Macaca mulatta: one gene and its partners. The protein of the gene in region 3 purifies or fractionates together with the protein of the main gene of each other region. This does not show direct contact. Links are inferred from orthologs where the notes say so. Each region holds a gene or a part of one and is shown on either strand. Other genes may lie near its edges.

Region 1 (4,094 bases), on a different chromosome or scaffold from region 3:
CATCCTCTCACTTGATTGGATCCCCAGAATGCCATTAAACGGATGCAGCAGAATTTTTTAACAGTTTTAAATTCTGTATATTTGATGAAGAGGTTTTATATTTTTGGATTCAAGCCTCTTTTTAAACTTCTACAATGTGGTTCACAAAAATTCCTCATATCCTGCTTTTGAAATATATATTGCAGCTTTCGTAAGTTGGGAAGGTTACATTTCAAGGACTAAAGTTACAGTATACTCAAGGGGTACACAAGCCTAGCACCGCATTTTCCAGAGTGTTCGATAAAGATTGTTAAACTCTAAATCACAGGCCTTTTAATTCTTAAGATAAATAGCAGCAGAAAGAAACATCTTTGGCTTATTTCTGGTAAGGTTTTTATGCTCTATAAAACAAAGAATTGTATTCATCCGCGCAGCACAGATTCTATTAAAAATAAATGTGAGAGTTGTTAATGTAGTACTGCTCATTTACCACCAAAATTCACTCTTCAGGAATAATTCCATCAGTTTAAATTGGATATTGGAATGAGCATTGATTACCTCATGTAATTTGGTAGCCCAAAATTTCTTCATGGAGTTTTGAAGTCACCGGGATTTCAAAGGTTTTAATGAGTTTTTAATTTTTTTAAAATCCTCAAATTTCATTACCTTTAAATTAGGTTGAAACGGGGCGCAAGAGATTGGATTAACACCACAGTAATACTTACTTTGTTCTTAACCATTTCAGGGCTTCTTGAAATAGAGACTGTATGGTGTAATGGAAAAAGCCTTGGAATCTGAGAGCCTGATTCCTGGATTCAGTCCCAGTTCTGCGTGACCTTGGACAAGTTACTTCACTTCTCTGAATTTCCGTTTCCTCCTCTGCAAAATGAGGATAGCAACAGCCACCTTGCAACCCTTACTGGAGCGCGCCCCGCACACCCCGCGCCTGCCTCGACGAAGAGCAGCCATGATTACGACGCCGCCGCCGCCGCTCCGCTACCCGCTTGCGGCTGGCGCCCTCCCCCAGCAGGTGTAGGCGCTGCCGCGCTGCCCCACGCCTTTCCGCAGCTCGCGGGCCTGCGCTTCGGCGTCCCCAAGGAGGCCGCTGCAGGCTGAGGTAGCGCACCGGCCTCTCGCGTCCCAGTCCCGCCCTGGGCGGAGGCAGTGCAGGCGACCCAGCTCGGAGGCCGAGGCCCGGCCCCACGGAGTGCGGAGGAGCGCAGGCGGCCCCCGCCCCTCGGCCCTCCCCCCCGGCCCTCCCTCCGCCCCCTCCGCCCTTGCGCGCCGCCCGCCCGGGTCGCCGCGGGGCCGTGGTGTACGTGCAGAGCGCGCAGAGCGAGTGGCGCCCGCATGCCCTACGCTCCTCCACAGCCTGGGCCGGGCCGCCGAGGAGGCTGAGGCGGCGGCGGCGGCGGCGGCGGAGAGGGCCGGTCTTGCGCTCCCCAGGCCCGCGCGCTTGAGTCCAGGTTGCCATTCGCCGCACAGGCCGCATTCTCTCAGCCCTCGGCAGCGATGAGGCGCTGAGGCGGCCGCCGGCGCTGCGCCGGAGACTAGGACTCGGAAGCGGCCGGGCCGAGGGCGCGGGGTACCGGCCTCCCTGAGGCGAGGGTAGTGGGTACATGGCGCAGTAACGGCCCCTATCTCTCTCCCCGCTCCCCAGCCTCGGGCGAGGCCGTCCGGCCGCCACCCCTCTTGCTCGGCCGCCGCCGCCGCCGCTGCCGCCGCCGCCGCCGCCGCCGCCGCCATGGCCAATGACAGCGGCGGGCCCGGCGGGCCGAGCCCGAGCGAGCGAGACCGGCAGTACTGCGAGCTGTGCGGGAAGATGGAGAACCTGCTGCGCTGCAGCCGCTGCCGCAGCTCCTTCTACTGCTGCAAGGAGCACCAGCGTCAGGACTGGAAGAAGCACAAGCTCGTGTGCCAGGGCAGCGAGAGCGCCCTCGGCCCCGGAGTGGGCCCGCACCAGCACTCCGGCCCCGCGCCGCCGGTTGCAGCGCCGCCGCCCAGGGCCGGGGCCCGGGAGCCCAGGAAGGCAGCGGCGCGCCGGGACAACGCCTCCGGGGACGCGGCCAAGGCAAAAGCAAAGGGCAAGCCCCCGGCCGACCCCGCGGCGGCCGCGTCGCCGTCTCGCGCGGCCCCGGGCGGCCAGGGCTCGGCGGTGGCTGCCGAGGCCGAGCCCGGGAAGGAGGAGCCGCCGGCCCGCTCATCGCTGTTCCAGGAGAAGGCGAACCTGTACCCCCCGAGCAACACGCCCGGGGATGCGCTGAGCCCCAGCGGCGGCCTGCGGCCCAACGGGCAGACGAAGCCCCTGCCGGCGCTGAAGCTGGCGCTCGAGTACATCGTGCCGTGCATGAACAAGCACGGCATCTGTGTGGTGGACGACTTCCTCGGCAAGGAGACCGGACAGCAGATCGGCGACGAGGTGCGCGCCCTGCACGACACCGGGAAGTTCACGGACGGGCAGCTGGTCAGCCAGAAGAGCGACTCGTCCAAGGATATCCGAGGCGATAAGATCACCTGGATCGAGGGCAAGGAGCCCGGCTGCGAAACCATTGGGCTGCTCATGAGCAGCATGGACGACCTGATCCGCCACTGTAACGGGAAGCTGGGCAGCTACAAAATCAATGGCCGGACGAAAGTAAGTGTGTGCTGCGGGTTTGTGCTGGACAGACCCTTCTCGGCGGGCAGTCCCTGCCTGCGACTGTAACCGCCTAGGCTGAGAAGCAGCATTCCTCTGTATAGAAGGGACTCGTTGTGTAGCACCCCGTAAGGAAGACGGACAGAATTTGTAGTGGCTGTTTATCTAGTTAGCCCCTTTGTGTCCGCTGTTTTCCACTTACTGCCCGTTCACAAACTTCTCCGGCTAATTGCATGGTTTTCTGGCTAAACGTAGGCTCTTTAACTTTGCTATTTTCTTTCTTCCATTTCACTGTTGGTCACAATTCAAACCTTAGTGGCGTTTTAGCCACCCAGTGAGGGGGTGTTAGAGTACCACCCAAACCAAGTCCTGGTTCTGCATGTGCCTTGTGTTTGCATACGCTCTTGAATTTCCTATGGTGTCTGAACCACTCATCACATTTTGATTGAGAGTCAAACGCTATGTGCAGTGAAGAGTTTGCCAGCTGACCACAAAAAGGTAAATTTAAAATACGCATTTAGTCGAAAGACTGTCTATATTCAGGAAGAGCTTGGCTACTCACCTCCCCCTCTTATAGCTCTTATCCCTTACCCTGTTCCTACTGTTTTGAAACCCTTTACAAAAAGGGGAAAGAAGTATTTCCGTTTTCAGACTTCTCAGTGTAGGTAGGCTACATTTTTAGCATAAGTTTCCTTTATTTGCTTTGTTAATGTAATCCTTCTGTTGAAAACTGTTTTGTAACTTCCTGGAAAAAAACAAAACAAAACAAACAAAAACAACCACAACATGGAATTGGAGCAGGAGGCTCGTTTTATCCTCCCAATTTGGTGAGTTTTTGTTTTCTCTTTACCGTTGCGGTTTTTCCTCCACAGATTCTTCACTTCCTACCTAGTCTATTCCTAGCTCTTTCCTCCTTCATGATAAACAGTAGACTCTTTCCTCCTTAATACTCTCTTGCAGCTTTTTTTCATTTTACTTCTCAGATCTTGATCTTTTCTGTGTATATAGCTGCTCCCAGGCCGCCCTCCTTCACCATCAGTCTCTGTCTGATTTTGTGAGTTTTGAGAGATTGACCTGGGAGAGCATCACAGTTGCATGTTTGTACACACACGCTGACTCTTAACCAGTGGTTCTTTTTTATGTGTGCGTCAGATCATTTACTTTGACAGTCATTACATGTGATTCTCAGGCTGCCGGAAAGGCTGAACATAGGCAGGGAGAAAGTTACAAACATGAAAATGTGGGGAAAAATACAATGTGAAATCTAATTTACGTATTGCCACTTCATTGCTGGGTGAAGGCACAAGTCTTGATTTCTTGTAGTCTTAAAAAGGAACAGTTGAATAATATTAAACTGGAAGGGAAAGGGGGATCTGATGAAATCTCAGCCTTGGTCTTTCACTAGATTTGCGTTGATATTTTTAAGAAAGAACGTTGTCATGGATCACATCTGAACATAAAGTCCCGAGCTCCAGAGCAG
Region 2 (4,220 bases), on a different chromosome or scaffold from region 3:
GAATTGCTCTGACCATAAGAATCCCATTCTGTTGAGACTTAAGACATTTTCCATTATTTCTCAATTTGTAGAATATACTTATTCCTACCTAAAGAAATCACTTTTCTTTCCTTCAAAAAAAAGTTAGATCCTGATACAATTAATATGACATGGAAATTCTTGCGTCGTTCATTTATCTTAAGCAATACTGTTTACGTTAAACTTCCGGCAAAAGAAAGGATAAGGGGTAGCTTTCTTTTGGGTGTGTGGGGCTGAGGCAGGCAGCAGATTTTGACCTGTATGTATGAACATTTGCAGAATTCTACTCCAATACTTTGAGGCCCTATGGAGGAAAACACACGTTCCTCTCATACATCTGGACAGACTGATTTGTCCTAGGTCATATACGAATTGTTGACAGAGAAACTGATGCTGAATCTATCAGATGATCTAACCACTAATACTAAACGATTCAGATTTCATAGAAATCATAAAGTAGGGTACACAGATATTTCTAATTGCGTAAGTATCATGGCTGTCATTTCTTCTGTATTATTTTAATTGATTTCAAAAAATTCTTTGGGGAAACAGAAAGGAAATAAACTATGGGTATTGACAGAAGTTCAGGGAAATCAAACAGAGAAGGGGTTTGCAAGTCGTAATAACACGCCATTGCAAGTTGCAGCCCTGGTGAGGGACCCAAGGCAACAGTGAATAACACTAATAAATGTCAATCAGAAAAATGCAGTAACAAAAAAGGCAGCAAACTGTCACATATGGCAGAATAATCCAGGCTGAATGCTTGTGAAGTTGCATCTCACTATCCACTAATGTTCTAAGGTTGGGAGTATGTGTAGTAGAAACAATTAGGAGACTTACGGCTAAACAGAAGCATCTCTCAGTTCTTCTAATCCCTTCTAAACCCAGAGGGATTTGATCTTTCATTCACTGGGGGCCAGGAACGGCAACTACCCATATAAAGTAAGCACCTACTATGTGCCTGGCATCCATGGTCTTAGGTGATGGCTTCCAGGAATTGCCAGGATCCCTGATGGAGGCTCCTTCGGTGCTGCCTGACCTGCTTTGCTCCTGCCACTGCAGACACCCACGCTGCTGCAGACTCCGAGCCACAGCAAGGCTCAGAAGATCAAGGGACCAGTCACAGCAGCCTTTTTAACTTTGGGAAAACCCAATGCTCACTTCACTCAAACGTTGCAAAGTGGTGCCATGACCCTTTAGCTCTTGGCTCACCAATTCAAAGAGCCACATCACATACAGCCCTTAAGCTGCCCACGGCATGATTCCGTGTCTAGTTCCTTTCCAGGTCCCCCCAAGCGGAAGACAGTTCTGGCAGGGAGTCTGGGCAAGATTACTACAATATTTAGCCTTTGTCCCTTCTTTTGCTACGTCTTATTGTAGAATAAGGCACACAGGTCTGAGAGATTGAGTATGCTGGACCTGAGACCTGTACTCAAAAGGTCCCTGCAGGACTGCAGGTCAGCTTAATCCAGCCCAGGAATCTCCATTTCAAAGATGAAGAAACTGAGGTTCAAAGAAAGCAAAACACGGTCTCTACTCAGAGTACTGGAAGGCCTGATATAAACTTAACCCCAAAGCCATGCCTCCTGCCTTAGTCAATTTACTGAGCACCTAACCAGTGAGAAACAGGCAGAAGTGAATGAGGCCAGATTTCACTCCCTTCACTACTGGTGTGAATGGATAAAGGTAACCCCACTTTCTCTCTGGGCTTTAGTTTTCTCATCTATTAAGTGAAAAACAGGATCGAATTGGTGATTTCTGATGTGCCTTTCAGCTCTGAAACTCTCATAAGAGTTGAGGATATAATTATATGTGTTGGTGTGTGCCAATGTATATGCATCATATATACAAACACAGGCACATATATACATATGGTATCTTGCAATTAAATACCGTTAGCAACCACACATCTTGCCCAATCCCTTACTGCGACCATGTCTTCCTATTTCCAAACCAAAACTGGACACTGCAACTCATCGTTGCAGCGCCTCAGAATCCAGGGCGTGTGGTCAGTGCTCACTGGCGTCCCTCCAAACACCCATGTAAGCGTACTTTAACACGTAAACGTACTTTACAAGACATATACTAAGTCATTAAATTCCTTGGAAGAAACAGCCAATTTGAAGCAGGGCTGGCCTGTGGGGAGCAGCATACACCGCAGGAAGTATAAGTTAAAGGTGACAGCCCGTGGCTGCCCAAATTTGGGGCTCCACTGCCAATGCACCGGGAGGGCAGTGAGTGCCCAGGCTTGGAACAAGCCTGGCTCGGAGCTCACATTTGAAGGCAGGAACCTGCACTCCCGAGTTTGCGCATCCTGCGTGAGCAACTGAAAACGTGCAGCGCAGGGCGTGCAGTGGGCACCGGTCCTGTTTCCTCTCGCACGTGGTGCCCGGCGTGAGGCTTCAGCGCGGGGCCTCCTCCCCTCCCCGCCTCCCACCCCGCCCTAGAGGCCGGCGCTAGGACCCCGCGAGCCGCACGCACTTCCTGGCGCCGCGATCCAAGCCTCCCGCTCGGCGCCCCCGGCTCCCGCCCGCCGCCGCCGCCCTACCTGGCGAAGCAGTACTCGCAGTGGTTGCCCCGCTCGTTGACCGTGAGCACGTAGGCATAGGCCGGGCAGGAGAACAGCAAGTCCCCCACCTGGAAGGGCTGCAGAGCCCGCAGCCCCCGGCCCTTGCCCGGGCTGCAGAAGCGCTCCAGGCCGCCGAGGCCCTCGGCCCTCATGGTGGCGGCGGGGCGCGGGCGCCGGCTGTGCCCGAGCTGCGGCTCCTGGCGAGCTGTTATTGGAGACGCGTCACCCAGAGCTGCGGGGGGCGGGGTGGGAGCCGCCCGGCGGACACGGCGGCGGCTCCCTGCTCCCCGGAAGGGACGGCGGCCCCGCCCGGGCCTCGCGCGCCCCCGCGGGGAGGGGGACGGGCCCGGCGGCCCCGCCCTGCGCCGGGACCCTCGGCGGCCGCCCCGCGCGCGCTCCGGGCCGTTTCCGGTGTGGCCGCGACAAAGAGCCGCAGCCCCTGTGGCTTCTGCGAGGAGGGCGTGAGGCGTGTGCGCCTCCGCGGCGTCTCCACGGAGCAAGCGGGACGCGCCCTCCTCGGTGGGAGGGGGGTCACCTGCGCGGAGCAGGTATCCCAGGGCCACCCCTAGACAGTCAGCCTGGCCCGAAGGATGACCACCAGCACCCGGTAAATAGAAGGGGGCGAAGCCGGCCCCCAAACCCTACGTTCACTTGCCCTTGTAAAGACCCCTGAAGGCAGTGATCGGGAACGCCAAGGAGAAAGCGGCAGAGGGGAAACCACAGTAGAGAATTTTGCTGTGCAGAGGGTTGACGTGTACTTTTCCAAGGTTAGAGGTTTTTAAACCTTGTGGCTTTAATGGGAACGTAGTTTGCCCTCTGCTCCTCTAGTAGAATTACATTGACGGAAGAGGAAATGCACTGGCCAGCCCAGCTCACCGAGTCTCTGCATGCTGCGAACGATGCAGAGGAAGCCAGAGATAACCTTGCCTTCAAGGAATTTAGGCTGTTGGGGGATAATGCGATGCTGTGGCCAGTGTCCAGGACACTGCGCTAGAGTTTGCAGTGGTTTTAATATGCTTGACCACCCACCAACTGTGATCTTAGAAAAGTCACTTGGGTTAGGAGTCAGAGGATTTAAAGCCCACAAAGCCTGAAACGTAAATCCTGTACACATGCACGCTATTACTTTTCATATGAGAAAGGAAAATATAATCCGTGTTCCACATGATTATGTAAAGACTGGAATTGACGTACATGCAGTAAAGACTAAAATTGTGACGAGATCATTTAGCAGAAAATACTACTTCAAACTAGAACCTCAAACAGTTACCTCTGTAAGTTCAGGACTGGTTTAGCAAGGGGAAAGGATGAATATGATTGGAGATGTAAAATCAGTGGAATTTTTGGCATTTCAGTAAAACAGCTTTCTCAGCTGGGTGTAGTGACTCAGCCCTGTAATCCCAACGCTGTGGGAGGCCAAGGTGGGAGGATCACTTGAGCCCAGGAATTGGAGAGTTGGAGACCAGCTTGGGCAACATAAAGACCCCATCTCTATGGGAAATTAACCACCTCTCAAGTGGTGCTGAGGTAGGAGGATTGCTTGAGCCTGGGAAGTCAAGGCTGCAGTGAGCTGTGATGACTCCATCATACTCCAGCCTGGGTGACAGAGCAAGACCTTGTCTCAAAAGAAAAC
Region 3 (3,500 bases):
CTCCAGAGGCTGAGGCAGGAAAATCCCTTGAACCTAGGAGGCAGAGGTTACAGTGAGCCAGGATTGCACCATTGCACTGCAGTAGTCTCAAAAAACAAAAACAAACAAAAAACAAAACAAACGGCCGGAGCGGTGGCTCAAGCCTGTAATCCCAGCACTTTAGGAGGCCGAGACGGGCGGATCACAAGGTCAGGAGATCGAGACCATCCTGGCTAACACGGTGAAACCCCGTCTCTACTAAAAAATACAAAAAAACTAGCCGGGTGAGGTGGCGGGCGCCTGTAGTCCCAGCTACTAGGGAGGCTGAGGCAGGAGAATGGCATAAACCCGGGAAGCGGAGCTTGCAGTGAGCTGAGATCTGGCCACTGCACTCCAGCCTGGGCGATAGAGTGAGACTCCTTCTCAAAAAACAAAAAACAAACAAAACAAACAAAAAATAAAACAAGCCTCAAGGATACTTCTCTAAGCCCAAACAGTAATAGCAAAAACAAAAAGTATGCAGAAACCAATTTTGGAGGAAATATTCTACAAAATGTAAATATACCTAGTCTATCTCACTGTTAAGAAAAACAGAGCTAATGCTTATTGCTAAAAAGAATACTTGGTATGTCTGCTTCCTCACAACTTAAATCTGGATTAAAGCATCAAGACTACTTACATTTGGATCAATACAGTGAAAAAGATCAATTTCATTTAAATGCTTAAAATTATCACTTCCTCCGAGACAACTGTATAAAATAATAAAGAAAGAATTAAGCCTCTTCAAAGAGACAAAGATTAATAATATCTTCAACGAAAAGACAAGCCAAGTTATTCAGTTGTGTGAATTACTATTTTACATCACTGGATAAAAAGCTTAACTTACCTGAATGTAAGTTTGGATTTTTCAAAATTTACATTAACATCCTTACTGTCTTCAACACAAAATTCAATGAAGACATAGTCCCTTCGATCGTACCACTTTGCAGAAGCAGGCTGCCTACAAAAGGATTAAAGTGGGGAAAGTCAAGCTGGAATTCATTAATTAAACATTTACATACTAACCTTCGACACTATTATAGCATTATTTCAGGGCAGTTCATTACAATTTTAAACAAAAACTACATTTTTACCCTAACAGCTACATTCCAAGTTAAAACCTAAGGGTCTAACAAGATTTAGTTTCAGAATGATTCCAATTTCATAGTAGGAAGGATTCAAAAACCAAACAATGCTTAGTAGTGTTAGCCATTTATCTAGTCCTATCAAAAATTATGTTACTTGGCTGGGTGCAGTGGCTCACACCTGTAATCCCAGCACTTTGGGAGGCCAAGGCAGGTGGATCACTTGAGGCCAGGAGAGCTAGAGACCAGCCTGGCCAGCATAGCAAAACTCCGACTCTACTAAAAATACAAAATAAATAAATAAATAAATAAATAAATAAAATTAGCTGGGCATGGTTATGCGGCCTGTAGTCCCAGATACTTGAGGGTTGGGACTGAGGCACAAGAATAACTTGAATCCGGGAGGTGGAGGTTGCAGTGAGCTGAGATCATGCCACTGCATTCCCAACTGGGCAACAGAGACTCTTGTCCCAAAACAACACCAAAAAAAACTGGTACATCAGAGCTTTACTTTTTAAGTTCACTAAAACCAGGAGAATGAATCTCCTTTCCTCAAATTAAGCAATCTAGAATTTTATCAGTTTCCTCAAAATTAATACATTGAAGTCCTAACCCCCAGTACACCTTAAGAATGTGATTATATTTGGAAATAGCATCTTTAAGTTACAATTAAGTAAATATGAGGTCTTAGGGTAGACCCTAATCCAATGACTGTTGTTCTTCTATACGAAGAGATTAACACAGAGGGAAGAAAGAAAATAGCTATCTGCAAACCAAGGAAACAAGGAAAGGACTGCTGACACCTTCGCCTTGGATTTTCAGCCTCCTGGAAATGTGAGGAAATAAATTTCTGCTGTTTAAGCCACCCAGTGTGTGATACTTTCTTATAAAAGCCTTAGCAGGCTGAGGTCGAGAATTCAAGACCAGCCTCACCAACATGGAGAAACCCCGTCTCTACTAAAATCATAAAAAAGTAGCCGGGCGTGGCGGTGAGCGCCTTAAGTCGCAGCTACGTGGGAGGCTGAGGCAGGAGAAAGGTGTGAACCCGGGAGGCAGAGCTTGCAGGGAGCCGAAATCAAACTACTGCACTACAGCCTGGGCGGCAGAGCGAGACTCCATCTCAAAAAAAAAAATTAGCCGGGTGTGGTGGTGCATGCCTGTAATCTCAGCTTAAGAGGCTGAGTCAGGAGAATCGCTTGAACCTGGGAAGTGGAGGGGTTTCAGTGAGCTAAGATCGTGCCATTGCATTCCAGCCTGGGCAACAAGAGTAAAATTCTGTCGGCCGGGCGCGGTGGCTCAAGCCTGTAATCCCAGCACTTTGGGAGGCCGAGGCGGGCGGATCACGAGATCGAGACCATCCTGGCTGACACGGTGAAACCCCGTCTCTACTAAAAAATACAAAAAAAAAAAACTAGCCGGGCGAGGTGGCGGGCGCCTGTAGTCCCAGCTACTGGGGAGGCTGAGGCAGGAGAATTGCGTGAACCCGGGAGGCGGAGCCTGCAGTGAGCTGAGATCCGGCCACTGCACTCCAGCCTGGGCGGCAGAGCGAGACTCCGTCTCAAAAAAAAAAAAAAAAGAAATTCTGTCTCAAAAAAAAAGAAAAAGAAAAAAGGGGGGGGGGGCCACAGCACGGTGGCTCATGCCTGTAATCCCAGCACTTTCGGAGGCAGAGGCAGGTGGATCACGAGGTCAGGAGTTCAAGACCAGCCTGGCCAATATGGTGAAACCCCGTCTCTACTAAAAATACGAAAATTAGCGGGGTGTGGTCGCATGCGCCTGTAGTCCCAGCTATTTGGGAGGCTGAGGCAGGCCAATCAGCTGAAGTCAGGAGGTGGAGGTTGCAGTGAGCCAAGATCACACCACTGCACTCCAGTCTGGGTGACAGAGCGAGACTCTGTCTCAAAAAGGAAAAAAGCCTTAGCAAGCTTATAATCACGTCCCAGATAATAAAACAAATTTAAATTATCAAAACCTGTGGTTAGGCCATGAGCCAAAAATGATTCCTACATTTTTTAAATATTAAAAAACAAAACAAAACAAAAAAAACAAACCCGGGAGGCAGAGATTGCAATGAGCCAAGATTACACCACTGCACTCCAGCCTAGGCAACAGAATGAGACCAAAAAAAAGAAGAATGTGAATGAGAGAGGTATTTGTGGCCTGCAAAGCCTAATATTTACTGGCTGACCCTTTATACAAGTTGGCTAACACATTAAAACTACAAACAGGGTCGAGTGCGGTGGCTCACGCCTGTAATCCCCAGCACTTTGGGAGGCCAAGGTGGGTGGATCACCTAAGGTCAGGAGTTCGAGACCAGCCTGGCAAACACGATGAAACCCTATCTCTACTAAAAATACAAAAAATTAGCTGGGCGTGGTGGCGGGCGCCTGTAATCCC
Region 4 (4,090 bases), about 60 Mb from region 3:
GCACTGGGGGGAATCTTTGGAGGACTGCCTGCTGAACCGTAGGCATATTCTGGTTTGCAGGTGATGTGGCACACCTCCCCCACCTTCATGGTTGCTATGGCAATGTCCCAAGCCTTGATGACCTCCCCTGCAGGTACAGAGGCAAACAGGACCACTTTAGCAGGGTTCTGATTCTGGGCTCAAACAGTGCTTCTGAAGAGTTAATGCACCACACTCATGGGGAAGCTGAACATCCTTTAGAAATGGGACCAGAAGGTGAGATACCTGGTTGCATTAAGTGCTACCAGGTCTAAGAACTGTAAAAGATCACCTGACCCTGAACAAAAGAGTTTAAGATGCAAGACAGTCCACCTTTGAAGGGGGAGTAAGGTGTTGGGAGGTGATGAGGAGAAGGGGAGACAAAGATCAGTATAGTTACAGAACGGTAGAAAAAAAAAGAGTGACCGAAAGAGTTAACAGACTGTGATAAACCATTCCTCCCTGAGCTTGGTCCTGAGAAAATGGTTTCTGCTTGTGACAGCTTGTGTCCACCTCGAACCTATCCTACCAGCCCACTGACCACGCCTACCTTTTCCCAGGTCAAAGGAGAATTTGTCCTTGCGATCCAGACTGGAGTCAAACTTTGTGCCATCTAATAGCCAGCCAGTATAGTGGACAAAGACTCGGTCCCCAATCATGGGCATCTCTGTACCTGTGCCCTCTCTCTTGATGACCTGGGAGGAAGGGGGAGAAAGTGAGTAACCCAGGGTTTGGGGCCGAAAGGGGCACCAACACTGCCTGCAAGCCTCCAGAGGGAACATAAAGGGGCTTCTCTGGGTTCATCCTCCTCTGCCTACTTGTCCCTCCAGATTCAGCTACTAGCAACTTGACTTAGGAGTCAACTAACCTCCCTGTCTTTCTTCAGGTACAGCAAGACTTGGTTTGAAAAAGGAGACAAAAGGCTGAGAGATTTGAGTTCAAGTTTCCGCTGTATGGATAAGTTTTAAAAATTCTCCACACCTTATTTGTAAAGCAGTGATGATAATCCCTATCTCCTACAGTTTGTTGGAAGATTAGACCAGTAAAGGGTTGAATAATAGATCATTATTATCATCGACAAAGGGGGAAGTATTTATGCCACACTTCCTCCTTCTTCCTTCATGCCAGTGGTCATCAGATTAAGGTCTGGTTTGGAGACAGGAGAACGAGAGGAGTATGAGTGAAGAGAACAGAAACAGTTCAAAACAGGTAAGGAAGAAACCAGGTTATAAGTGAACCCAGAGGCTCTCCATGGGACCTTAAACTCTGACTTGGGAGCGGAGTATTCCTCACTGGTAGGCTGTTTAAGACCAGGGCTGGAGTTATTTCCCAGCAACGCACAGGTTCCTTTAGCGCCACCTGGTAGGTGTGTGGTTACCCTCTAAGGGAAAGCTTCCATGGAGAATGGACAGGGTCTTGGAGGAGTAGAAAGGTAAAAGGGAAGGAATGGCGGATCAAAGGGGAAATGACCCTTCCCGGAATAACAATCTCATAGAAAACAGCAGGACGCTGGAGCGAGAAGGGGAAGCCACATGCCACAGGAGAGCCGCTGGAGCAGACGCTCGAGGTCCCCAATAATCTGGTGCAAAGACAGATGCACTTCTGGACCAGCTAAAGGCCCCCTGAGGCGGGTGCCACACACGCGGAGCTCAGCGGTGGGAAGCCAGGATGAGGAGGAGCAGCGGATGGGGAGAAGGCATAAGACGCGGGCTGGGAATTCCTCTCCGGACTCTCCCCGGAACCTGCTCCGACCCATGGCAGGTTGTCCTGGCCCAGGTCAAGATGCCCTCCCCACAGCTCCCCAGGCTATTTGTAGTCGAGCGGTCACTCGGCGGCAGGCTCCACAGCAGAGCGCCTCCTCTCCGCCCCACACCCCGCAGTCCCGGCTCGGGGAGGCGGCGGGGGGGAGGGGACTACAGCTCCCGGCATGCCCCGCGCCCGGCCTCCCCGGGGCCGAGGGAGGGGGCGCCGCGCGCGGCGAGTGGGGACCACGCTGGGTCCCGGCGTCGCCAGGGGACCCCGGGAGGGCGCCGGAACCCTGTCGCGCCTGCGTCGCACAAAGGCCGCCGGGCCAGGAAAGCACTGTGGGGAGTCGCTCCCCGTCCTGGCCCGTGTTCCACCGCCCGGGTGGGCGAGCCCTGGCACCGCCACTAACGAGGCGGCCCCCGCGGCTGGCAGCTCCGCTGGGGCCGCGGGGGTCGGGGGCGGCGTGGCGCGGGAGGCCCGGCCTGGCCCCGGGCTGCGGCTCGCGTGCCCGCGGCGGTCGCCCCGCCCCTCTCCGCCGCCCCGCGCGCGCCGGGGTGGGCACTGCAATCCGGACCCCCTGCCCCGGCCCGGGCGCTGGGGACTGGGGAGCCTGGGGCCTCGGCCCGCGCACCTAGGCCGCCCTCCTGCTGAGCGCATGGTCGGCCTCGGTGCCTCAAACGACGCAGCCCGGTACGGGACGGCGATGCCACCGGCCCCCGGCAGGACGGCCGCGAGGCTGCAGAGGCGGCCGCCTCGACCCGTGCCCGGCCGCGGGCTCCGGGCTCGGCGGAAGGGCGGCCCGCAGGGCCCCAGGTTCGGCCGCCCCCGCAGGCCCCGCCGCCCCTCACCTTCAGCACGCCTTCGTCCTGTTTGGGGCTGATGTCCACTCCCTCAATGGGCAGCGGCGCCGACTGCGCCCCGCTCTCGGCCGCCTTCATCTCCTCGGCTGTCATCTCCGCGCGGCGCGCCGTTTCTCCGGGAGCTGGCACCGGCGCGAGCGCACCCTGGGCCGCTGGCGGGGGCGCTACCTGCGGCGCGTGCGGGAGGCCGGGCGCGGCGGCACTGACTGCGGACCGCGAGGAGGCTCGAGCACCTCTGCACGCGGCGCGGGAGCGGGGGTAGGTGGGTCAGGAGCCGCTCGGGGAGCGATTGGTCCCGCCCCGCCGCGAGGGAGGGGCTGGGAGGAGCGGGAGCGCGGACAGAGGGGGCGGGGTGCAGAACTTTCTAGAGACGGCGGGACTGAGCCGGTTCGGGCTGAGTGCTGCGGGCGCTTCAGAATCTTTTTTCTTTTTTTTTCTGGTTCTTGCCTCCTTCTGGCTGCCTGCCCCCTCCCCCTTCTCCGGGGACCCTCGGACTCTGGGGAGTCTCCCCAGCGGCCTCCCCTGGCCCTTCCTCCCTCCCTCCCATCCCCGCCCGCTTCCCTGTCTAACCGGATTCTTCCAGATTCTTCTCGATCGATCTCCCGACATCACTCCACCAGTCCGCTGCGCCTGCGGCGATGTGTGGGGAGCGCTGGCGGCGGGATGGCAGTGGCGGCGCCCCCTCCCCGGGACGGGCCGTCACCACGGGCGGCGTGGTCTCTCCGCTATGACCCGCGTAGACCCTTCCCTACCTGGGGGAAAGAGGGTGAGGGCGTCCGGGGAGGGGGGAGTGAGCGGACAACGCTGCCCCGCTGCCGAGAGCCGGGGAAAGCGACCTCGATTTCCCCAGAGCCGGGAAGCCCGGGTCACGCAGCGGTGCCTACCCCGGCGCCTGCAGATGCTGCGAGCAGCGGGGTTGGCGAGGCATGGCCCGCCCAGCTCGGAACTCAGACGGGGCGCGCACTCAGGGGACCCTTCCCGGCGGTAATACAGCTGCCGTTTCTGCGAATGCTTACACACGTGGGTGCCCCTCACGAGAAAAGTCACTCGGTTTTCCAGAAGGAGTCTTTTCCTCTCAATGTTTGTTTCCCGAGTGGTTTTCGACAGCCTGTGGAGCGCGCAACTGCCCGTGTCACCTAAGCCATGGTCGTGGGACCTACAAAGCCATCTAGAGAGGGGCCTGGTTTTGGTCAGCACCTAACCCCAGTTTAGCATAGTGCCTGGTGAGTGGTGTCCAATAGTTACTGGCTGCATGAATTTTCCTTTTTTAAATTAACTTTTCCAAGTCTTGGCTGACTTTTTTTCTTTCTTTCTTTTTTTTTTTTTTTTTTTTTTTTGAGACAGGGTCTCACTCTGTCTCCCAGGTTGCAGTGCAGTGGTGCGATCTTGGCTCTCTGTAGCTGGGACGACAGGTGTCCACCACCGCACCCACTAATTTTTGTATTTTAGTTTCGCCATGTTGCCCA
Region 5 (4,259 bases), on a different chromosome or scaffold from region 3:
TGTTCGAGGTCTAGAGAGCTTTTCAACCACAAATCTCCCCTCTTCTTTCACTCATAGAAAACCTAAATTCCAGAGAGTGAAACAACTTCCCAAAGAGCCCACAATCAGTGGTGGCTCTGGACCATTCATCCAGAATGAATTCAGGTGGTAAAGCTGGCCTAGGAAGAGAAAGCAGGCCAGAAGAGAAAGAGCTTAGTACACTTATTTTACCTACTTCTAAATATCCCAGACATTGCCTCTGGGATATCGGCAAGAATGGTACCAACACAAACAAATGTAAACAAACCATTATCTAACCTTCTAGTCCAAAGATACCTACCTGATTAATTTAACAAATACTCACTGAGTGCCTGCATTGTGCCAGGATCTTTGCCAGGCCCCCAAAGAAACATCACAGATTAAGACAGTCACTGCCCTCTAGGCAATTCCAATCTAGCCAAGATGCCAAAATTTCACACACAGAAAAACCAGCTGCCTGTTTAATTCTGTTTACTTTTTTTTTTTTTTTTTCCGAGACAGGGTCTTGCTTTGTCACCCCGGTTGGAGTGCAGTGGCATGATCTCGGCTCACTATATCCTCCACCTCCCAGGTTCAAGCGATTCTTGTGCCTCAGCCTCCCAAGTAGCTGAGACTACAGGTATGTGCCACCATGCCTGGCTAAGTTTGGTACTTTTAGTAGAGAGAGGATTTCACCATGTTGCCCAGGCTTATCGGGAACTCCTGAACTCAAGTGATCCGCCTGCCTCAGCCTCCCAAAGTGCTGAGATTACAGGTGTGAGCCACCATGCCTGGCCCTGTTTACTCTTTTTACTTTAAATAAAACAAAATAAAACAGTGCAGAAAGGAAGACCAATCCTTTTCCAAAAATAAGAGCACATTTTAACATCGTTACCTCAGAACCACCGCAAGTGACTCTTACCCTGAATCCACACTTTGCGTTTCACCAAACTGCAAGTCACAACCCATTTGTGGATTAGGAAATCAATATAAAGGTCTCAACAGCATTATTTTTTAAATGAAAATAACAGAAATTTTGAAATATCACAATACATCAAGAGTAGTAAAGCTAAGTACTGTTTTCTGGAGCTTTGTGTGTACACTTGGTTGTGTCATAAAATGTATTTGTTACTGTAGGTCACAGTCATAAAGGTTTGAAAGACACTGCTCTAAATAATTCATATCAACAGGCAGGGCACGGTGGCTCACGCCTGTAATCCCAGCACATTGGGAGGCCGAGGTGGACAGACAACGAGGTCAGGAGTTTGAGACCAGCCTGGCCAATATGGTGAAACCCTGTCTCTACTAAAAATACAAAAAAATTAGCTGCGCATGGTGGTGCGTGCCTGTAGTCTCAGCTACTTGACAGGCTGAGACAGAAGAAGCGCTTGAACCTGGGAAGCGGAGGTTGCAGTGAGCCAAGATCACACCACTGCACTCCAGCCTGGAGGACACAGCGAGATTCCATCTCAAAATAATAATAATAATAATAATAATAATAATAATTCGTATCATCTTCCTATTTGTAATCCTGAATTCAGAAAGTATTTCATGTTTGCTGAATGAACAGATATTCCATTTAGAATAACTGCTCATCAATTAGCCATTTTGCCTTGTGACATCTGTGTGCTCCTCCTTGATAATGACATTTCTTTCATTCTAATTCCACCAGTCTGTAATTCTATTCACTATATCTCCAGCAGCTGGCACAGGGCCTGGCACAGAGGAGATGCTAGGAAAAGGTTTATTAAATATGCATAGAACTCTGCAGTCTACCAACCTCTGTCACTGACAGCTCTGTGAGTTCCTCACAGTCCTGGAACACCTAAAGTCACATCCATCCACTTCTCTCCACCACCTCCCTAATGCAAGCTACCATCGTCTCTCACCCAGAGTGCTTGCTCCTCAATCCATTATCCACTCAAGAGCAGTAACCTTTTCAAAATACCAATCTAATCACATCACCACCCATGTCAGCTTCTGAGTGGTTTCCCACCTGGTTCTTGAAAAACCAAAATTCTTCCTATTACCTACAAAGCCTGCACGGTCTGACCCCTGGCAACCCCTTTAGCTTGTTTCACATCATGGTCCCCCACAAGCTCTCTGTTCCAGCCACAACGGCCTCTTTCAGACCCTGAAATTGGAGGCTCTCTCTCTTCAGATAGAAAACTCTTCCCTCCCCACTCGGTCAAATCCTTTTTTCTGATCGCAACTCAATATTCACCTCCTCAGTAAAGGTTCCTTGACCTGGGGCTAGATCAGGTCTCCTGTGATATACCGTGGGGTGCCTTGTACCATTCCGTTTCAATGATCACCACTGCAGTTTTGGATGTTTGATTGTGGGCTGTCATCGCCACAAGACTTGAGTCCTGCTGTATCCCTAGCACAGATTCGACGCCTAGTAAATATTTATTTAATACAAGTATGATATCCATTTGGTAAACGAGAAACAAAAGCTCAATTCGGGGAAAGACCTTACTGGAAGTCACGCAGAGAGTAGGGCAGAGCCACGTCGAGTGCAATCAGGGTCTCCGGCCCCCAGGCTCTAAAGTTAAGAAAAACGCGAAGTAACTCCGTGTGACCCGGGAAGCCCTGGTAACGGCTTCTCAGGAAGGGCCTCCAGAGACACCAGCGTCCCACAAGCAGAGAACCAGCCGCCCCAGCGAGGTGGGCCTAGTTCAAGGCACTCCGTGACTCTGAGCCGAGAAGAGGGGCGGCCCGGCCACACATACACAGGGAATCAGGAAAGGAAAAAGAGGCCAGGAGGCCACACTCACCGCCTCGCCCCACGTTCTGGTACCGCGGAAACGCACCGGAAGTTCTCCCGCTTTGGCGTCTGACTGGAGCCACGGGGAAAGCGGTCCGGCCGAGCCCTGGGTCGCGGGAAGAATGGCCCGTACCTGCAGGTTCCGCCGGATGCAATGTTGCCTTTTGCTATTCTTAGTTTCTCGTTTTAGCTTCTGAACTGTGAACAACTTTCATTAACCTTTGCATTTTATATCCCCTTCCAGAAACACAGACACCAGCCATCTTACTTTGGGCGCAAGCAGTCATGGTCACTAAAGCATAACCAAGACTTGTACCAATGGCTACTATTCAGTAGTAGCCAGTCAGGCGCTCGGTCACTGTCTTTGTCAGCCAGTCTCTATCCGGGTCACAATGTCTCAGCTTCCAGTCACACTCAGCCCTCGGGGAGAGCCTCAGAAACCCAGCCCAGAGAGAACCAGCGTCAGCCTCTGCTGCTGCAGGAGCAGCAGTCACCACCTCAGTCCCTCTGACCCTGCGTCCTTCCGGCAGGCCAAGTCCTAACGTCTTAGTCAGGCTATCAACGCTCGAGGGAAGAAGCTGCCTGTCTTGTTCCTCACTGTTTCCCTGGAACCGAGCACAAAGCCAGGCACAAAAGCTCAGCTGAGTACATATATTATGCATTTAATTAATAATGATGATAATTTGGTATTAATAAATCACTTCTATTTGTGAGTCTAACCCTGCACTATTAATCAGGGTTCCACCAAAGATGCAGAGCCAGTAGGAGATCTATATTAAGTGATTTATTGCAAAGAATTGGCTTATGTGATTTTAGGGCAGGCAACTTGGGTCTTTCTTTCTTTTCTTTTTTTTTTTCTTTGAGTCACAGTCTCACTCTGTCACCCAGGCTGGAGTGCAATGGCGCGATCTCGGCTCACTGCAACCTCTGCCTCCTGGGTTCAAGCCATTCTCCTGCCTCAGCCTCCCGATTACAGGCGCCTGCCACTATGCCCAGCTAATTATTTTATTTTTAGTAGAAACAAGGTTTCACCATGTTGGCCAGGCTGGTCTCGACCTCCTGACCTCAGGTGATCCACTGCCTCAGCCTCCCAAAGTGCTGGGATTACAGGGGTGAGCCACCACGCCTGGACTGCCTTCTTTTTTTGTTTTTGTTTTGCGATAAAGTCTTGCTCTTGTTGCCCAGGCTGGAGCACAGTGGTACATTCTCAGCTCACTGCAACTTCTGCCTCCCAGGTTCAAGCAATTCTCCTGCCTCAGCCTCCCTAGTAGCTGGGATTACAGGTGCACACCAGTATGCCCAGCTAATTTTTGTATTTTTAGTAGAGACCAGGTTTCACCTTGTTGGCCAGGCTGGTTTTGAACTCCTGACCTCAGGTGATCCACCCACCTCGGCCTCTCAAAGTATTGGGATTACAGGCGTGAGCCACCGCACCCAGCCCACTTGAGTATTTCTAATCCTTGCACTAACCCTAGTAAGGTATGTGTATTCCCAG
Region 6 (3,500 bases), on a different chromosome or scaffold from region 3:
TGAAACCCCATCTCCACAAAAATTACAAAAATTACCTGGGCATGATGGCGCACACCTGTAGCCCCAGCTACTTGGGAGGCTGAACTGGGAGGATCACTGAACCCAAGAGGCAGAGGTTGCAGTGAGCCAAGATTTGTGCCACTGCACTCCAGCCTGGGCGACAGAGCAAGACTGCCTCAAACAAAAAACAAAGAAAGAAAAAACTCTTTGATTGTTATTTCTATATTCTCACCTCCTTTAACAGATGAGGACAGTGAGGCTGGGAAAAAAGGCACTGGGAGCCATGCAGCTGCTACCCAATCTGAGCTGGCTGTGAACCTAGGCATCCTGAGCCCAGAGCCTGCCCCTCTAGCCCCTGCACTGGTGACCTCAGACCCTCTGCCTGCAGCCCACATGTAAAACAGGGATTTTTGTATCATACGCAACACTCATCTGTACTTGTGTAAATGAAAAGTAATTTCCATAAAACAATATTTATACACATTTGCTCCAAACAATGACCCGTTTTCTTTTCTCTATTTGACGAGGACAAAAGTGCTGAAGCTATTCAACTGATTGTGGCCCAGAAACAGTTACAAGCATGGATTGGGGGTTCAAGTCTCAGCTCTGCCACTTCCCTGCTGGGTGACCCTGGAGGAGGGACATCCCCTCTCTAGGCTTCAGGCTGAATTCAGGCTGAATTCAGGTGCACAAAGGGCTCCCAGCAGTGCTGGGCCCAGAGTGAGCAGACAGCTGAGGAAACTCAGGCTAAGGGGAGCTTCCTTGCCCAAGGTCAAGGTCACGTGTTTGCTCTGCTTCCCTGGCGAGCTCCTGGTCCAGCAGGAAACTCTAGCATCTGGCAAGCAGGAGGTCTAGTCTTGGGAAGATGAACTGCCCCAGGGCACACGGAGCCTGAAGAATTGTGCAGAAGGGAGCAGGGCTGGAGGCCTGCAGGCATGTGGATGGCCTGATGACAGGTAAGCCCTCAGGCTCATGTGGGGGTCCCCAATGCTGCTGGGAGAGCCCCCATGGGGAAATGGGCCATGACAATTTAGGTGCTGGGTGTTCTGTAAAAGGCTCTGAATTCCCCACCCCCTCAACCCTCCCTGCCATCTGCCAGGCCTGGGACATAGCTCAGACGTGGCATACCCACAAGATGGCTGAAGCCAACCAGTCCAGCCTCAGGGAGTATGCGGGCTTGGGCCCTAGACTGGGCCAGAGCCTTGAAAAGAGCTCCTGCTCCTTACCCTGGGGAAAGACGCTCCTGCAGCCCCACATGCGACGAAGACCCTGCCCGAAACCTGTCCTTGGGGCTCCTCTCTTCTGCCCCACTGTCTCCCCAGGCCCCCTTCTCACCTGGAGCCCTGCCCCAACCCAACACCGACTGTCCTTCTTGGTTACTCATTACTGAGCCCTGCAGCTCGTGACCTTTACTCAACCACGTCATCACAGCCACTGCCACCCAGAGGTGGCCACTCCTCCCGTCACCATTTTCTAGATTAGGACACCAAGAGACAATGAGGGAGGGGCCTGGTCAAGAATGGCTTGAGAGCCCAAGTTGGGAAGGCCTCTGCTCTGCTGTCCCTGCTCCAACCCTTCTAGGTGTCACCCTAACCCCCCGCCACATCTCTGCCCCCATCCTAACACGTGTCCCCTAGCCCCATGTTTGGCTCAAGCCTTCACCTGGCTTGAAGTCCACCCTCCACCCCAGCGGCCAATAGCCGGTCCAGTCATCTGAGCTGGCTCCACCGACTGCAGACTCCTGATTCTCAGCCCCACACCAACTGCAGACTCATGGCTCCCAGCTCCCTGGTTGCCCCTCCCTACATGACAGAAGCAGCTCCAAGTGTGATGGCTGCAACCGAAGGAGGGAGTGAAGTGTCTGTGTGTGGCGGCAGGATAACAATCCTCTCGACACACAAGACACACAGCCCCTGCTGCACCGTCCCCACGCGCAGGACAAACACACGTCCCCATCTCAGGGAGCGAACTCTGAGGTGGGAGAGACAAGGCCCTGAGGGCCAGACCTCCTGGGTTCAAATCCCAGCTCTGCCGCTAACCAGATGGGCAGGTGACTTCACCCCTTAGGGACTCAGTTTCCTCATCCGTGCAAGGGGAGTAATCCCAGTTCCCACGTCCCAGGGTGCTGCGATGATTCAGCCAGCCTCCCTGAAGGAAGGTGCAGAGCATACCTGGTGTGAAGGTGTGCGCTCGCTCTGCAGGGCCTCACGCATCAGGATTTTCATCAGGTGGCTGAGGGCACTAGAGAATTCTCACTGTGCCCTAGGTCCCCTCCCTCATCAGCATATCACACACATCCCGCCTGCTGTCCCTGGCAGCGTTATCACCCTTCCTGTTTTTTCTTTTTTTTTTTTTTTTTTTGAGACAGGGTCTCACTGTGTCCCCCAGGCTAGAGTGCAGTGGTGAGAGCACAGCTCACTGCAGCCTTGAGCTCCTGGGCTCAAGTGATCCTCTTGCCTCAGCCTCCTGAGTAGCTGGGACTAAAGGTGTGTGCCACCACGTTTGGTTTATTTTTGTATTTTTTGTAGAGATGAGGTCTCCTCCCCATGTGGCCCAGGCTTGTCTTAAACTCCTGGGCTCAAGCAATCCTCCCACTCTGGCCTCCCAAAGTGCTGGGATTACTGTCGTGAGCCACCGCGCCCGACTTCCCTTCCTCTTTCCTTCGAAGTGCAGATCCTCATCTGCAATTATTTTGCTAACCTATTCAGCGGTGGGTTTTCTGCCTGCCCCTGAAAGACAAGCTCTACCAGAAGAAGGGAGGCTGTGTGGCTCCTGTCCAGCACCGGCACTAACAATGACAGTCACCATCAGGTGAACCATCACAGGACGCGACCCTGCGCCGGGTACTGGTCTACTCATGTGAAAAGCAGAAGCTCACTTTTCCTCACAGCTGCCCTTCAGGCTGATCCTCTCGTTCTCCTCATTTCACAGATGCGGAAAGGAAGGTGCAGAGAGGCAGGGTAACTGGCCCAGGGTCACAAAGTGTGAGATGACTGAGCAGAGCTGTGGCCTGGGCCCAGGGCCCCACAGGCACTCGCTGGCTGGCTAAGTGGTGACTAGAGGCGTGAATGGCTCCTCACACCCATCCCCGCCAGCCTGGCCCTCGGTATCCGCCTGGCTCAGGTGCCAGGCCTGGCCCACTCCCCAGCTCACCGTCTCGTAGTCTCGCAGCGCGGCCCGGAACTTGCCCAGTGCCATGTTGCTGGCAGCCCGGCGGTAATAACCCTTGATGTATTTCTTGTCCAGCTCGATGGCCCGCGTGGCATCTCCCAGTGCGTAGCCATAGCACTCGGTGCGCAGGTAGGCCAGGCTGCGGTTGCCATAGTAGATGGCGTTGCTGGGGTTCAGCTCGATGGCCTGGCTGTAGAACTTGATGGCGTTCTCATAGTCCTTGGCTGCGGAGATGCAGGAAGAGGCATGAGGCAGTGCTCCAACCCCGCGAGGACAGGCCCCGGGCTGGGTGACGCCCAGTCTCCCTGTTCACAGACGGGGAAGCTGAG
Region 7 (3,151 bases), on a different chromosome or scaffold from region 3:
CCATCCCCGGCTTTAAGAACACAGAACACAAAAACTTAGTAAAGCAGCACCCAGGGCTCAAACCCAACCCAACTTTACCCTGTTCACATCTGGCAGCTTCAAAACGAGCCCTGCCCCCTCAGGCTTCACCCTCCCCATCCTAGTGGGCAGTACATCCACACCCCCACCCCAAGCACTATCCTTCACTTCCAGCAGTTCCTAATAATCCCATCCCAGCCAAGCCCCGCCCCTAAGCCTCCTGTTGGCCCTGCCTCACCCAAACCACTAGCCCTGCTCCCAGGACCGGGCTGCCCCGTACCCTCTGGCCAAGCTGGCAGGAACTGCCGAAGTCCACGATCTTGATGGCGCTGCGCTTGGGGTTGCAGAGCAAGATGTTTTCGGGCTTGAGGTCGCAGTGAATGATGCTGAGCTCAGGCGTGGCCAGAAAGAGCAGTGCCGTGCAGAGCTGCTGCGCCAGCTTCCGGGTCAGGTTCAGCGAGACGCCGCGGAAGTGGGTGTTGCGCAGGAGGTCATACAGGTTGTAGGACAGCAGCTCGAACACCAGGCACAGGTGGTTCCGGAACATGAAGTGCCGCTTCAGGTGCACTGCGAGGGAGGGGAGAAAATGGGCCAGAGAAAAAATGGCTCAGAGAGGGCAGGTGGTGGCCTGGGGTCATACAACACTCTTTGATCACTAGCCACATGTGCTGTGCCCACGGGTACCATCTGCTAGTCAAGATCTTTTTATCTAACAAACAACTAGGTTCACACAGGAAGTTAACGCTCTTTCCAAGTCTCTGTCAAACCCTCCAATTAAACAAACGAGAAAGTTTCATTAGTTACTACTAGCTCTAACACATTCTACACTTCCTCCTTTAATTTCGTAACACTGCTTTCATCTCCCTTGTATTCATTTTTGTGGCAAAGGACACTAGTTTTCCATCTACTTTAAGGATGTACATTTTCCTTTCAAACGAAACCATTTTAAAATCCACTTGCTGTTTATGATTATGTTGTGATGTTTATGTCCATTAAGAGGAATCAGTTTAAGGGAGGAGAAAGACTGGCACAGATGTTAAGAGTAACAGCTCTGGAGTCCACGGCCTCATCAAATTATAGCTCAATTAGTACAAACTGCCCCCTCATGCAAGTGACAGCACTTGAATCCCTGGGTTTCTTTTTTCCTTTCTTCGTTTTTGTTGTTATTATTGTTTGGTTGTTTGTTTGTTTTTTAAGATAGAGTCTCGCTCTGTCACCAGGCTGGAGTGCAGTGGCATGGTCTTGGCTCATTGCAACCTCCGCCTCTAAGGTTCAAGCGATTCTCCTGCCTCAGCCTCCCGAGTAGCTGGGACTACAGGCGCGTGCCACCACATCAAGCTAATTTTTTCATATTTTTAGTAGAGACAGGGTTTCACCATGTTGGCCAGGATGGTCTCCATCTCTTGACCTCATGATCCACCCACCTCGGCCTCCCAAAGTGCTGGGATTACAGGCGTGAGCCACGCACCCAGCCCATTTTTTTTGTTTGTTTTTGTTTGTTTTATTGAAGAAGAAACTAGGATGGAAGCCCGGGTTTTGTTTCTTCAAGATGTTGGTAATAATGCCCTTCCCCTTATGGGCTGTGGTGAGTTAACTTACATAAAGTGCTTCCAAGACAGCCTGGCCGTTGGTGAGCACTCAGTAACCTCTGACCACTACCAAGTAAATAGGACAAAAACCATAAAAGCAGCAGGAGAATCACTGATGTCAGTGAAGCACAGATCAAACCCTGCTCTGAAGATGTCAGCCTCCTCCTGAGGGTGGGGCAGGGGTGTGACCCATCCCTACTGGCTCCAGCTCCCACTATCCCAGGTGCCCACAGCCCTGCCAGTCCCGGGCCTCACCTATGTAGTACTTCATCTCGGTGTCATGCTGGTTCATCAGCTCCAGCAGCCGCAGCTCAATCTGGGCCTGGTTCAGGAAGGCCTTTTTGTTCTTGATGATCTTGATGGCCACAAGCTCCTGGGTCTGATGGTCATAGGCTTTCACCACCTGTTGGGGCAGGGCATGTCAAGAAGAAAGGGGTGGGGGCAGGGCAGAGCCAGGCACCATTCTCCTCCCTCCAGGCAAGGAGGCCCACCGAGAACACTATGCATACTTCGCAGTTGAGTGCACACCATTAGTCAGGCACTGGTGGAAACGCTGGACGTGAAATAACATACCACCTTATGTTGAGTCTTGTTATTTAAACTGTTTTACAGAAAAGGCAACTGAGGCACAGGGAAACTAAGTGGGCTAGGGTGAGTGGCCCAGCATGGGATTTGAAGCCACTGAACCACTGGGTATGTGGTCAATGTTAGTGGGGCCTTGGATCAGGGTGGGAGAGGGGGGTGTCCCACACCTGGCCAAAGGAGCCTTTGCCAATGAGCGAGTCAATCTCATAGCGCTCCAGCCAGCGCTCGCCACTGCGCACGATGTAGTCATGGTTGTCGTCATCATAACCATGGTTCAGGACCTTCTTCTCCTTCTTGGTGCTCGAATCCTGGGGTGGCACCTGCTGGGCCCGCCGCTTCTTCTTCGCATAGTATACCTGCCCAGCCAGCCAGCCAGGAGATGGGGACTGGTGAGTGACTCATGCCAGCAGCCAAGACCCTCGGCACCCAGCCCAGGATCCCCCAGCCCCTGCCCACCTCATTGATGTGCTTGTAGGTCTTGATGAGGTCCACAGAGAGCTTACGCAGCGGGGCTGAGGTTGCATCTCGGAAGGCCAGGGGCAGCCTCCGAGGCAGTAGCCGCACATCAGGCAATACCTGCAGGGCAGGGTGAGGGGTGGGCACTGAGGGCGGGCCTTTACCTCCAACCTCAAGAGGAAGAACTATAAGGGCTGCTGGCGCATCATGTATTTGGTTGCTGTCTGTATTTGTTCCACCCATTTAGGAAAGAAACTCCCCCAGGGCTGAGACTTTCTCTTGTTCTTACTGTACCTCCAGTGCCTAAAGCAGGGCCTGGCACACAATGGATACTCTTTCAGACCTGTGATGTGAATGAGTGAACCCTGACCTTTCACCCCTCACCTTTACTCCTTTCTGAACCTCAGTGGGAGAGATTATATGGAAAATCTGGGCTCTGTTCCTCCCCATTCTTCACTGTGAAGCCAGCCATTCTGGGTATCCTCTGAAGTTCCTCTATCTCA

The links.
Region 1: the proteins of PTGES3 (region 3) and EGLN1 purify together in Homo sapiens (affinity purification with mass spectrometry; 5 studies listed by BioGRID and IntAct, with this or other methods). This does not show direct contact. The link is inferred for Macaca mulatta from reciprocal best matches to the Homo sapiens genes PTGES3 and EGLN1.
Region 2: the proteins of PTGES3 (region 3) and SMYD2 purify together in Homo sapiens (affinity purification with mass spectrometry; 3 studies listed by BioGRID and IntAct, with this or other methods). This does not show direct contact. The link is inferred for Macaca mulatta from reciprocal best matches to the Homo sapiens genes PTGES3 and SMYD2.
Region 4: the proteins of PTGES3 (region 3) and FKBP4 purify together in Homo sapiens (affinity purification with mass spectrometry; 3 studies listed by BioGRID and IntAct, with this or other methods). This does not show direct contact. The link is inferred for Macaca mulatta from reciprocal best matches to the Homo sapiens genes PTGES3 and FKBP4.
Region 5: the proteins of PTGES3 (region 3) and AAR2 purify together in Homo sapiens (affinity purification with mass spectrometry; 3 studies listed by BioGRID and IntAct, with this or other methods). This does not show direct contact. The link is inferred for Macaca mulatta from reciprocal best matches to the Homo sapiens genes PTGES3 and AAR2.
Region 6: the proteins of PTGES3 (region 3) and PPP5C purify together in Homo sapiens (affinity purification with mass spectrometry; 5 studies listed by BioGRID and IntAct, with this or other methods). This does not show direct contact. The link is inferred for Macaca mulatta from reciprocal best matches to the Homo sapiens genes PTGES3 and PPP5C.
Region 7: the proteins of PTGES3 (region 3) and DYRK1B purify together in Homo sapiens (affinity purification with mass spectrometry; 3 studies listed by BioGRID and IntAct, with this or other methods). This does not show direct contact. The link is inferred for Macaca mulatta from reciprocal best matches to the Homo sapiens genes PTGES3 and DYRK1B.

Annotation. Positions count from the first base shown.
Region 1 is NC_133406.1:17,609,915-17,614,008, forward strand, and holds the start of EGLN1 (egl nine homolog 1), read left to right. Parts: upstream 1-1,294; 5' UTR 1,295-1,723; coding exon 1,724-2,614; intron 2,615-4,094. UniProt on the Homo sapiens protein: Cellular oxygen sensor that catalyzes, under normoxic conditions, the post-translational formation of 4-hydroxyproline in hypoxia-inducible factor (HIF) alpha proteins.
Region 2 is NC_133406.1:71,982,662-71,986,881, reverse strand, and holds the start of SMYD2 (N-lysine methyltransferase SMYD2), read right to left. Parts: upstream 2,801-4,220; 5' UTR 2,740-2,800; coding exon 2,567-2,739; intron 1-2,566. UniProt on the Homo sapiens protein: Protein-lysine N-methyltransferase that methylates both histones and non-histone proteins, including p53/TP53 and RB1. Specifically trimethylates histone H3 'Lys-4' (H3K4me3) in vivo. The activity requires interaction with HSP90alpha.
Region 3 is NC_133416.1:63,846,373-63,849,872, forward strand, and holds part of PTGES3 (prostaglandin E synthase 3), read right to left. Parts: intron 980-3,500; coding exon 866-979; intron 729-865; coding exon 659-728; intron 1-658. UniProt on the Homo sapiens protein: Cytosolic prostaglandin synthase that catalyzes the oxidoreduction of prostaglandin endoperoxide H2 (PGH2) to prostaglandin E2 (PGE2).
Region 4 is NC_133416.1:3,691,458-3,695,547, reverse strand, and holds the start of FKBP4 (peptidyl-prolyl cis-trans isomerase FKBP4), read right to left. Parts: upstream 2,801-4,090; 5' UTR 2,718-2,800; coding exon 2,613-2,717; intron 714-2,612; coding exon 569-713; intron 128-568; coding exon 1-127. UniProt on the Homo sapiens protein: Immunophilin protein with PPIase and co-chaperone activities. Component of steroid receptors heterocomplexes through interaction with heat-shock protein 90 (HSP90).
Region 5 is NC_133415.1:89,072,301-89,076,559, reverse strand, and holds the start of AAR2 (protein AAR2 homolog), read right to left. Parts: upstream 2,801-4,259; 5' UTR 2,222-2,800; intron 1-2,221. UniProt on the Homo sapiens protein: Component of the U5 snRNP complex that is required for spliceosome assembly and for pre-mRNA splicing.
Region 6 is NC_133424.1:58,852,597-58,856,096, reverse strand, and holds part of PPP5C (serine/threonine-protein phosphatase 5), read right to left. Parts: intron 3,396-3,500; coding exon 3,154-3,395; intron 1,744-3,153; exon of another isoform or gene 173-1,743; intron 1-172. UniProt on the Homo sapiens protein: Serine/threonine-protein phosphatase that dephosphorylates a myriad of proteins involved in different signaling pathways including the kinases CSNK1E, ASK1/MAP3K5, PRKDC and RAF1, the nuclear receptors NR3C1, PPARG, ESR1 and ESR2, SMAD proteins and TAU/MAPT.
Region 7 is NC_133424.1:50,957,804-50,960,954, forward strand, and holds part of DYRK1B (dual specificity tyrosine-phosphorylation-regulated kinase 1B), read right to left. Parts: intron 2,769-3,151; coding exon 2,649-2,768; intron 2,549-2,648; coding exon 2,360-2,548; intron 2,011-2,359; coding exon 1,863-2,010; intron 586-1,862; coding exon 299-585; intron 1-298.